Ovis aries: one gene and its partners. The protein of the gene in region 3 interacts with the protein of the main gene of each other region in a pairwise test. Links are inferred from orthologs where the notes say so. Each region holds a gene or a part of one and is shown on either strand. Other genes may lie near its edges. The genes, in order: PARD6G, PARD6B and PRKCI.

Region 1 (4,148 bases), on a different chromosome or scaffold from region 3:
GGGGGAGCCATCAGATCTAGACAGTTTCTCTGTCTCAAGGCTTTGGGAATTGACCAGCTGTGGCAGAGGGCTAACACCAACAATTCTGAGAGGATCAGAGGCAATTTTCAGACCTGATATCCTGAAATGCCACAGAGTCTTGATCTGCAAGGCTTAGCTCTTACAACTGTGGGTGCCCTGCAGTTTACAGGTGCTTTACCGTTCATTGCCTCATTTGATCCTGTCGGGCTACCAGAATAGGTTCAATGACCATTGTACATATGAAATAACTAAGGCTCAGAAAAGTTAAATGACTTGTCTGAAAGCTCACAAGGTTGGGTGGTAGAACTGGCTGGATTTTGGCACGATTTTTCTTCACATGCAAACCCAGGTGTTATGGTGAACCATTTAGATTGGATAAAAACATCACTGTCATAATGGTTTGCCTCCCATATTTTGACAAGAGCAGCTGGAATAAGGCTCCCTGCAGAGATGGACTCCGTGGGTGGGTGACAGAGTGGTACAGAAGGGGGAGCCAGGTGGCCCCACTGGACAGACAGTAAGACAAACCACCTTATCGAAAAGGGCCTGGGGCGGTGGTGTTGTGTGTATAACCAGCCAGCCCAGCAGGGCCCAGCCTGGTGTGGCCCTCCAGGACTGTTCCCAAATTCAACCAAAACTTTGCCCCTCTGCCACTCACCCCTGGTGGAGCAGTCACTGCATCTGAACTTGAACCCAGGCTCGGGCCATGGGGCAGCCCTCCTTCTTCACTGGGGGTCAAGGAGGAGGGGCAGCCTGAGGTAACCCACTGGGCCACCAGAACACCTATGGCCCCCAGTTCCCTGGGAGAGGCAAAGGCAGACTCTTACTCTTCAGGCCTCAGGGGTCCACCGTGTCCAGAGCGCACGACTGCAGGATAAAGGCTGGTGAGGGCATTTCCTCCAGGGCTAGCCCTCCGGAGTTGCATCTGGTCAGGCAGCTGCCTGCCACCATGGCTGCAGAGCCCAGGGCATTCGGCCAGCGAGATTCGTGAACAGCCTGGGGTGTTCATCACTTAGAACCAAACAGCCACCTTGCAGGGGTGAAAGGCTGCCAGGAGGTCCCCTCGCGATGGAAGTGGTCCTCGTGGAGACTGCCTCAGGAACGCACGCATGACAAACTGACCTGAAAACACCGCAAGGCCCTGGATGTGACACTGTGATACAAGACGGTACCTGTGGGGAAGCCTCTGTGTTCTTTCTCACAACTGCCTGTTAATCTATGATGATCTCAAAATAAATAGTTAAAGTGAAACACCATGGGTGCTCAGTGGCTATTGTCAGGGGACAATGAGTTCTAAGAAGCCACATTCCCACTGAGTTGAAGAAACGTCAGTTATTTGGTGCTCCCACTCAGGCTTGTTGGTTCCTCCCCCCCACACAACTCACAGAGGTCACTTTTGATTTGGGGGTGTGGGGAGTTCTGGGGCTAAAAAGAGATGAGTGCTGGGCCAGGGTCACAGAATTAGCATTGGAGGTAATTAGATATGAGGGTTCATAAATAGACTGCCCAACAAGATGTGACGAAATCCCACAACTCATTCTGTGGGACTCCTGCAGAGAACCCCCATCCTCGGAGGAAGCCTTGCAAATCCTATGTCAAAGGACCCCACCTTGATTGGTACGGGCAGCCCAGACAGGGGCCATCGGGTTAGTCTTCCCAGAGAGCGAACCAGGACACACACGCCGGCGACCAAGTGTGCACAGACTTGGAGGTCAGAGCCCACCCTCGGGTCTGGCCCGTCTACCACCACTGGGGTTCTCCTCCTTGCCTGACCGCGCCGAGCGGGGGGAGCGCAGAGAAGGGGCGAAAGCCGATCCCAGGCAGCGGTACGCCCGAGGCCCCCTCCTCCAGGACCCCGAACAACTGCTGCTCTTCATCTGCGGCAAGGTCCACCCCTGAGACCCTCGCAGACAAAAGCTTCTGCCGCGAAGGTGCCGCCCCCGCAACGGGCAGAAGCGCCAGATCCTATCAGCCAATTATCCAAAGCGCACAGCCACCCGCAAGTTCGGGCACGCTTGGGCCCGGGCGCGGGCAGCGGGAGGGGCCGCTGGTCCGGCGCGCCCGGGGAATCTGGGCCTGGGGCGCGTCGGGAGGCTGAGGGGCTGGTATGCAGGGCCGTGCTGGGGACTGGGGGTCCGGTCCGGGGATCGAGGACCCGCTGCGTGTCTCCCCCTCGCCGGTTCCAAGGTTCCTCCGCTGCGAAGGAGGCGGCGCAGCCAGGGCCCTTCCCCGGCCCGGGCCCCCAAGGCCCCTCCAGGGCCCCGAATCCGATCAGCCCCCGGGTCGCCCCGGAAACATCGCCCCTCCACCGCGCGGTGCGCCGGATCGCCGCCGGCTTGTGGAACAAAAGAGCCACTCTCGCAAAGGGTCGGGCGGCCGCGCGGCCCTCCGAGCGCCGGGGCTCGAGCCGAACCTTACCGGGCTGCCGGGCTTTGTGCGCGCGCAGGGGCGGGAAGGACTGAGGGACCCCGGCGCATCTCACGGACGCGCGCCGCGCTCCGAAGTTGTGGTCGGCGCCGGCCCCTCTCGCGCCGCCCAGTCCCCTTCGGGGTGCCCATTCATTCGTGGGGCGTTGGGGGGGGTGCGCAGACTGCCGGCCCCCGGCTCACCTTGCTCTTGACTTCCACCGCGCTGCAGTCGTAGAAGCGCAGGGTCTGAGACTTGTGGAAACTCCGGTTCATGGTTCCGGCCCCGCTTAGCCTTGGCTTCGCCCTCGCTCTTCGCTATGGGGACTGCAGAAGGACCCTGGGTGCGCCACCCGCCGCCGTGGCCCCGGCCCCGGCCCCGGCCCCGGCCCCGGCCCCGGCCCCTGCCCGCGCTCGCTCGGCCGCGGGGCAGCTCGAGTGCAGCGGCCCGAGCAGGGCTGGCCGCGCGCCTTGGGCACTCAAGGGGCCGCGCGCGGGAGGAGCGGGGTACGGCGGCGCGCGCCGCCCCAAGGACCCGCCCCCCGATACCCTAGAACCCACGTCCCGCCCCGAGCCCGGAGGATCCGCCACCAATCCCTGCCCAGCGCCCAGAATACCCGCCGCCAGTCCCCGCCCCGGGCCCAGAGCACCCGTCCCCCGAGGACCCGCCCGGAGCCCCGAGGACCCGCCCCACGAGCCCCAAGGGCCCACGTCCCGCTCGGCGCCCTGTAGACCCGCCGCTAATCCGGTTCCCTAAGGACTGGCCCGGCGCTGAGAAAACCCGGCTCACATCCCGGGGACTCGCCCCACGAGCCTCAAGGCCCAGCCTCGCGCCCTGAGGCCCCACCCTCCGAGTCTGGAGGACACGCCCCCCGTCCCGAGGACTCACCCGACGCCCCACCCAGGGCTCGTCGGCCCGCCCCCGGCCAGTCCCCGCCCCGAGCCCCGCCCACGGGCCCGCCCCCGAGGACGCCGCTGCCGGGTGGGTGTTCACTCCCGTCCGCAAAATCAAGAGCAGGGGAGAGAAGCCCGGTTGACTCGCCCGGGACGTCCACACTTTTTCTCCCTTGCTCGCTTCCGCCAAGATTTTGTTAGCCTCCTCCCGTCGTCCAGGAAAGGGGTCTGTTTTGGCTGATTTTCAACGTTGTCTTGGGTGATACTGGACTCACGGAAGCCTGACCCCCTTGGGTCCATCTGTCCGTTAGAGCTGCCAGGTGGTAGATGGTTTGGGCAGAGGTTCTGCACGGAGGCAACATCCTAAGGCGTAGTCTAGCACAGGCCAAAGGTAAAGGGTTCGGAAGGGTCAGAAGCACCCATAGGCCTGTCTGATGAGAAGGAAGACTTCTGCCAGGGCTGGCAGAAGCGAGAAACGGAAGAAAGACATCGTCAGGTGTGAGCAATGTCGTGGGTGCTTCCTGTCTAGAGCGCTCTTGGAAGCGGGGCTGCGGAAACCGAAATCCTCGCTCTTGAGGAATCTCTGATGAAGCCAAGAACACAGGACCAGTAGGTGCTTCAAGAGTTCTGTGAAGCGTGCTACACAAATTTACAACCCAATTCAGTAGATTATATATCACTTTTTCTTAGTTGAATTCACAGGAGAAAAAGGAAGAAGAAATACAAACGTGCTAATTATACATACAGAGGGATGTATTAGTTAAACTTATGGTTTTAAATGTAATCAAAAACAGAATTAGAACAAAAATATAGCCTCTCCAAAATTTC
Region 2 (4,265 bases), on a different chromosome or scaffold from region 3:
GCAAAGTTAGCAGAAAAAAAAGAGAAATTGTTATGATTCTTGCAGCACAACAGGATTAAGAGAACTTTTTACCACGTGAAAAAAAATACAAAAATAGAGATAAAATTAAGACTCAATCAACAACTATTCAAACTTTTTTTTAGCCTGGTCTAGTTTGGCCTGGTCATGGGGATGGACACCCATCACCCAGCATTTTTAGGTACAACACTTTAGAAATGTAAACTTGATTTTAGTATTGGTTCCCCATGAATAATAACCAGGAAATGTACAGCTCAATGACTATTCCAGGTCTTTGACATCCAAGACTGCTGAAGGACATCTCCTTGATTATTAATAGCTCTCTCAACTCTATAGATACAGGAAGATAAATGTTACCAGAAAGTTACTGTAAAGAAAAGTCACATGGTAACTGGTATCACAACTTAACTATACTTATATTTGCATGATCCATTACTTTATTTGTAGCATTTTCTCCTTCCATGAGCAAAGACATGACGTTGACAACTTGCTTTTTATGTAGAAGAAAAAGAAATCCTGAAATGTGGATCTGCATACCACAGAGTTGGGGTCACAACCTCTTCCTTATCAACTTTGTAAAAAGCTGTAATATTACCACCAAAGCAGTGAAAATGGACATATTGTTCCACCTATCTGTCCAAATATTGTTTAAATGGTGAAGATGTCAAGTGCTTTTCTTTAACCCCTTAAAAATAAATGTACAGTTAAAACACAAGGTGTCAGAGACGCACTGGAAACTGTACTTCCCCTGTGCCTACTGATCAGCAGCTAGAATGAGTGGGACCCTTGATTCTGTTTAAGAGCTACGGTTTACCAGAAGAGCAGGCCAAATATATAATGGGTAGTGTGGGAAAGATTCACAAACCAGTTGACAGAAGAGAAGCATGGAAAGCCTGAAATTCTAGTCCCTACACGCTCAAGGTTTCCTAATCTGAAAGATAAATTACCATTTGACTGTATTTAATCAGAGCACCTAGAATCCCTACTCATTTTTTTCCTATGATAAAAAGTTAAAGACTTGCTACCAAGATTAGGACCACAAACTGAATTTTAAGATTACGCAATATCGTGTTTTTCTTTCCTTAACCTCAACTCCCACAAACCCAAACTAGATTTATAACAGAAATGCTGTGAGAAGGTTCAACCATTGGCCACAGAACCACTACTACCACTATATGCTAGAGGAAAAACTCGCTATATATTTTGTTATCTTAACTCTTAGTTCAAGCATGTCACTTCAATTTGCCATGGCAATTCCATGGAGGACACAGGAGACAGTGTATTTCTGAACCTGCTATATTTCTGTTCTTATTAAGCAGAAGGGTTTTTGAAATTAGTACCTACTGTGATACCAGTTAAGTTGAAAATGATGTCTTAAAATGTTAAAAATGAATGCAGATCTCAGTTATGGCAACTTACAGGACTTCACTTATCAACTCCAGATAATAAAAACCCTTCTACCCCAGAGAGCCTTCCTTACTCTCCTTCACTGAAAATCACTCCTTGATTTTGCGTTCTCCCTTCTACCACATCCCTGTTATCTTATATTCAGTAAGGTTTCATTATTTTTGAAGTTAATACGCTTTTCCTTTTCTCCTACTCTTCCCTGTGTCTTGATCTTTCCAACTCTTATTTTAAACGTTCAGGGGGCTCAGCTCCGCGTGCTCTCTTTAGTATTCCAGAAGGCCTAAAACTTATCTTGTAAAAAGGGCTTTAAGGTTTTGTCATAAAAAGCAGAGCTTGTTGAAGTCAAAACCTTTCTGAGCCCCTGTCTTCTCCGAGAATCAGACTAGATTATCTAAGTCCCTTCTGGCTCTTCAATTCATGAAATGCTTGCTTGAGAATGTTCTTGGGGCTGCCGATCGTCTTCAAATTCCAGCTCAAAACCTCCCTTAGAAAGCATTCCCTCACTAATCCCGATACACTGTCCTGCTCAGGGAGCCTTGCAATTTAGGAATTCAGAGGATACCCACACGTTGTCATCGGCAGATAGGCATACCGTTGGTCAAGAGGGAAAAAACACTTGACCTGAAAGAGTAGCAGGATGGAATGAGAAGGGCATCCAAACTCAAAACTGCTAAGTGCCACTCACCCGAAAGGTGACAGTGTTCACTTTACAAGATTCAATGCATACCAAAGTTCGTGTTCGAAAAATCCCTACAGGAAGCAAAGGCTAACTTTTACATTTGGGTGACTACGGATGTTTCAAACTCTTTACTCACATGCCAGAAGGCAGAATTCCTCCAAACCTTTCGTACCACGTTGCGCTCGCTCAAATGCCCCCCCATCCTCGGGTATGCCTTGGGCCTGACTCCCATCCTTGAAGGGGAATGATTGCTCACGGAAGGGGATTAAGCGCTCGGTGGGGCTCCTGCCTTACCTGGGGGCGGGAGCGGACACAAGGGCCCCCCGCCGCCAATCCTCGGCAAGTTCATTCCCCACCGTCTCCAGCCCCCAAGTCCCCCCAGCGCGGCCCCGGCGGCCCCATACACCCGGCCAGCCCCTGGGGGCCCCAGGCCCGGTCACTGCGGCCCCCCGCCCCCGGGGGCCCCCAGCTTGCCCGGGCCCGCGCACCTTGCTCTTCACCTCCATGGTGCCCAGGCAGCCGCTGCCCGCCCCGTGCCGGTGGCCGCGGTTCATCCTGAGGCCGGGCCCGCGGCGGCCTCCTCCAGCCGGGCCGCCCCTCGGGGGCGCGCGGGGCGAGTGCGCGGCCGGCGGGCTCGGGACGCGGCGGCGGCGGCGGCGGCGGCCCGGGCTCCTCCTCACAGGCACCTGCAGAGGGGCGGCCGCGGCTCGCGTCTCCGCGCCAGGCCCCGCTCGGCTGGCTCCTCACGCTGCAGGACCGAGGGTCGGACTGGCGGCGCGGCGGGCGGGGACGCGGAGCCCGCCCTCCCGGCCTCGGCGGCGGCCGCGACGGCGGAGGCGGCGGAGGGGGCGGAGCGGCGGGGACACGCGCCGCAGCCTCGCTCTCGGCTGCCGGCCCCGCGCGCGCGCGCGCTCCCTCCCCTCGGGCCGGGCCGCCGCCGCGGCGCGTGCGCGCGCTCACCTGCAGCCTCCGCCGAAGCCTCGGCAGCCCGCGCTCCGCCCCCACCCAATGGGAAGCGCGCACCTGCGCCCGCGGCGCCAACCAATCGGTACCCGCCTCGCGCCGCGCGTGGGCGGGGCCTCCTGCTCGAAAAGCCCGCCTGCCGCCGTTCGATTGGTCCCGCGCGGCGAGGGAGGGGTGGGATCACCTGAAGCCGGGAGGGGCGCTCCGGACCCCGCAGGCGAGCTCCAAAGCGCATGCGCGAGTCCTGGAGTTTCCGCCCAGCGAAGGCCGGCCGGAAGCGCGAGCGCACCTGGAGACGCGCTGGGATGGGTGGGCCTTTAGCGCACGCGCGGGCGCGCGCCTGGTTGCTCTGTACCCGGCTGGAGCTCGCGCTCCGCCGGGGCGTGGGGCACTCTTCCCGGCTAGTTGCTGGGCGCTGCGGGGCTGCAGGCTTTCTGCACCGCCTTCCACTTTGGGATGCTGCAGCCTCCTACAACGCCCCTCCGTCACCCATTTGCGTCTAGTCGTCTGGCTGCAACTCGGATTGCAAAATTCCAGTTTTCCCGCCTCTGTAACAGTAACTGGAGAAAAATCGCAGGGCTCTACTGGCTTAATGTCGTTGGTAGAGACTTTCTGCAGTCCAGTCAGGTCCCGTGGGATCGAGTAGGCGCTGGGAGGGCTGGGAAATGGGCAAAGGCCGGGGATGGATCCTCGAAGGTCCGTACTTCTAGATCGGCCCTCCAGGGATTCCCCGCCCCCCTTGTCTTTTAAATTTATGTTTAACCTTTGAGGATCTTCCTCTCCCTCCAGCCATTTCTGGGCTATTCACTGTGTCCACCAGTGACAGCCGCCAGCTTGTGTTTTGTCTGTCCCTCCTGTGGAATGACCAAGCTATGTTCTTGATAACAGAAGACTGAATCCTTCTCTTTAAATGCTCAGAGCCGAGTTTTTCCTCTCAGGGATCCTTTGCAGCACTGGCAGTGCTGGGGTGGTGAGGAGGAGAGCCCCAGAGCCCCCCACCCACCTGCAGAGGGGCTCATCACAGAACTGTAGAACTCTCCTGTGAGCTGGACCTGGGCCTGCGGAGGGCAGTTCTAACCTGAAATGGCCAAGAACAGCTGGCTAGGGTGCTGCATTCGGCTAGAGCGCCCTGGGCCTTTCTCGCCCCGTCCCTGCCTTCATCCGTCCTCACACGGGCACCCCTCCTTCCCAGCCCTTT
Region 3 (3,644 bases):
TCTCATACGGAAGCAGACACACAGGAAGGACACAGAACAAAAAGAATAAGATGTGGATAAACTAAAGCAAGGACTGACTGTTCAAAAACACTAACACACACATGCAGAATTTTAAAATAGGACAGAAAAGGCACTAAAGCCAAGAAGTGAGCATGAGTGAATTTAAAGTGCCCTAAGGTCCTTGCATATCCTGGAAAATGGTAAACATATTATTAATAATCTGTATTGAATTTAAGTAAGTTAAGGGTGTAAGATGCAATCCCTAGAACAACCAGTAATAAAACAGCAAAAGAATGTCAAACAAACTAAAAGAGATACAAGAAACTGAGATAGGAGACTAAATAGGTAACCAACAGATGTGCTTCAAAACAGTGCAGGAGTGAGGGAAGTCAAAGTCGCTTAGTATGTCCGACTCTTTTTGACCCCATGGACTACAGCCTGCCAGACGCCTCTGTCCATGAAATTCTCCAGGCCAGAATACTGGAGTGGGTAGCCGTTTCCTTCTCCAGGGGATCTTTCCAACCCAGGGATCAAACCCAGGTTTCCCACGTTGCAGGCAGATTCTTTACTGTCTGAGCCACCAGAGAAGCCCAAGAATACTGGAGTGGGTTGCCATTCCCTTCTTCAGGGGATCTTCCTGACCCAGGATTGAACATGGGTCTCCTGCCTTTCAGGCAGATTCTTTACCATCTAAGCCACAGGGAGTGAGAGTAGCTGGTAGACAAAACATGTACAGACAATTGTTTTAACTGGGTAATGGACACAGGGGGTTGTTACAGTATTCTGCTTACTTTTACTGATACTTGACATTTTCCGTAATAAAAAGGTAACCCAGAGTAAAACATAATACACTTATCAAACAATGGAAAGGGAAGGAACCCGCCTGCCAATGCAGGAGATATAAGACATGGGTTTGATCCCTAGGTGGGGAAGATCCCCTGGAGGGCATGGCACCCCACTCCAGTATTCTTGCCTGGAGACTCTCAGGGACAGAGGAGCCAGGTGGGCTACAGTTCGTAGGGTCGCAAAGAGTCGGACACAACTGATGCGACTTAGCACAGCACAACCCAGTATACTAGTTTAAACCTTTTGTGGCCAGAAGTATATAAAGTTGAAAAACCTGAAAAAGAAAGGGATAAACACATGTGGACACAACTAGAAAAGATTAAAAAAGGCTGTTTCTCAGAAGTCAAAGTGGGAGTGAAACGTGTGAGGCATGCTAAATCTTACCATAAGCTTTTTTAAAAAAATTGGTTATCACTTTAATTCATAATTTTAAATTAAACTGTTTGAAAAACTGATAAACTGTTTAACAGTCAGAAAAAAGATGGGCAGGTAAGATGTTTAATTATTTATACTTCAAATAAACCATTAGTCCATAAAATGGAAGGATCGAGATTTTAAACAATACTACCAAGTATTCTGAAACACCATTCTTAAGTATATTATAATTTTTAGATTACGCTACCTTAAAATGAAAATAAGTTATCCCACCACACCAGACTATTTAATTTAAATGATTTTAGTAATTTAATTAACAAAGAAAATCAGAATAAAACTCTAGAATCATTAAAAATCATCCCTGTATTTTTCTAGTATGACCTAAAATTTAAGCAAGTCAATCTGTCACGTTTTTAAAGTGTCACATGCTATTAAAAAGCTGATGACATAATATACCATAAGACTAATTATCTTACCTCCTTTTCTTCACCAACTTGGTCCAAACTCTCATGACTTGAAGGATTATACGGAATTACTAAAAACCCAATCCCAAACATTTAAAAAAAAAAAAAAGAAAAGAAAAACACAGTACACATTAACTAAGTTAATCAAAATTTTTTCATTTAATTTTTCTTACTTTTAATTTTTCAATAATTGTTCATCATTTAAAACTGAATATCTGTCCTATTAATAACAGATTATACATAAATATCAGTTAACTTCTAATCTCTAATGAGGGTAAAGAGAATGAACCAATCAATAGCCACTACTGATTTTAACAAACACTTTTGCTATTTTAAAATATATTTTTCTTCTTTACAAATTCCTTTTAAAAAGGTAACCCTCTAAACCCTATTTAATTATATTAGTATGACTGAGACATAAGAGACGGAGGGTCTCCAGTTTAGACTAGATTGGACTCTAGGCTTCTATTCCTTAAAGCAGCTAGGGCCAAAAAGCCTACATTTCATATAACTAGCTTCTTCCATGAAGAAGATGCCACATTCTGTCCTTCTAGAAAAAGTCCCTTTTTCTTGATTCACCCATCAGGCTGCTATGTCCCATGTAATTGCTCTCCAAATTTCTCAGAGACATACTAAAGGTTTTGTATCTACTAGACATCTGAACTCAAACGATCTTTTTTGAATTTTCTATACAGCATCTCTGTATCTTTTACATCATTTCTTCATCTCATAATAGAGTTTTATTTTAAAATGTCACTTGAATAGAGTCAACAGTCCACAAAATCAATATGTCTTCATTATTGAAAAAAAATAGATTTGGTATATGAAGAGGTCTCAAAGAATTTTATCGGAATTAAAGAAAACAGTCATTTGTTATAGTTTACATAGCTGTCTTTTTAAAATGCCAAACATATATGTTAAATACTGTGATTGATGTTAAATCCCCAAAATATGGTTACTTAGCTTTTATTTGGGAAGAATCTAAATGCCTTTACATTTAGGGGAAAGAGTCACATAAGGAAGTCTTTAGGTGACACTTTGCTAATGAGCAACGGTTTGCGCCACTGTCATCCTTACCTGTCTGTGCATGGTCTGAGTGCATGGATGACTGGTCCATGGGCATCAGTGGTTCCTACAATCATTTCCAAAGACACAGTAACTTAGTGGACTCTCTTTAAATAGCAATACTTCCATAAATCCAGGAACAATATCATTTTGATGAGACATAGCATATTAAAATTTAAATTTGAAATGTAACTTAGTAAGGATTATATTACTATATACAATTTATTTTTCATTGTATTACATGAAACAACACAACATTCCTGTGAATGAGGTGATGCCACATTTTACAGATTGCAGAAAAAACACAAAATTAATTTCAGTCCCTTTTAAATCCTTCTGCATTTATGAACTCACACAAGTCATTCCATTGACTAAGAATACTCAAGAATATATCAGTAATCTGGATAAATTTTTTTCACAATTTCTGGCTTTCTGCTGCTTGTTAAGATTGGCTTTCAACCTCTCTAACCATAAAGCCATTTGTAAACTTACATGAACTAGCTAAATAATGCTACTACCAATGAGCTACCAGTGAAAACATACTTTCACAATGTCCAGAGTAGGTACTAAGAATAAATATGTTATAATCATTCTAAAACAGTGGTCCCCAACCTTTTTGGCACCAGGGACTGATTTTGTGGAATACGATTTTTTCACAGACCCAGTGTGTGAGGGTTTTGGGATGATTCAAGCTCATTACATTTATTGTGCACTTTATTTCTATTAATATTACATCAGCTCCACCTCAGATCATCAGGCATTAGATCAGGCATTAGGAGCCTGGGGACCCCTGTTTAAAAGATAACTCAGAAAGACAAATGCAGATCTTTTTTAAAATGCTCATCTTTTAATCCAGTAATTCTACTTCTGCAGCCTTAAGGAAATAAGATTTAT

Evidence for each region.
Region 1: the proteins of PRKCI (region 3) and PARD6G interact in binary tests that used the Homo sapiens proteins (3 or more experiments, as listed by UniProt). The link is inferred for Ovis aries from reciprocal best matches to the Homo sapiens genes PRKCI and PARD6G.
Region 2: the proteins of PRKCI (region 3) and PARD6B interact in binary tests that used the Homo sapiens proteins (3 or more experiments, as listed by UniProt). The link is inferred for Ovis aries from reciprocal best matches to the Homo sapiens genes PRKCI and PARD6B.

The regions. Positions count from the first base shown.
Region 1 is NC_056076.1:517,954-522,101, reverse strand, and holds the start of PARD6G (partitioning defective 6 homolog gamma), read right to left. Parts: upstream 2,900-4,148; 5' UTR 2,703-2,899; coding exon 2,631-2,702; intron 1-2,630. UniProt on the Homo sapiens protein: Adapter protein involved in asymmetrical cell division and cell polarization processes. May play a role in the formation of epithelial tight junctions. The PARD6-PARD3 complex links GTP-bound Rho small GTPases to atypical protein kinase C proteins.
Region 2 is NC_056066.1:78,706,180-78,710,444, reverse strand, and holds the start of PARD6B (partitioning defective 6 homolog beta), read right to left. Parts: upstream 2,875-4,265; 5' UTR 2,659-2,874; coding exon 2,593-2,658; intron 1-2,592. UniProt on the Homo sapiens protein: Adapter protein involved in asymmetrical cell division and cell polarization processes. Probably involved in formation of epithelial tight junctions.
Region 3 is NC_056054.1:217,797,062-217,800,705, forward strand, and holds part of PRKCI (protein kinase C iota type), read right to left. Parts: intron 2,818-3,644; coding exon 2,763-2,817; intron 1,757-2,762; coding exon 1,698-1,756; intron 1-1,697.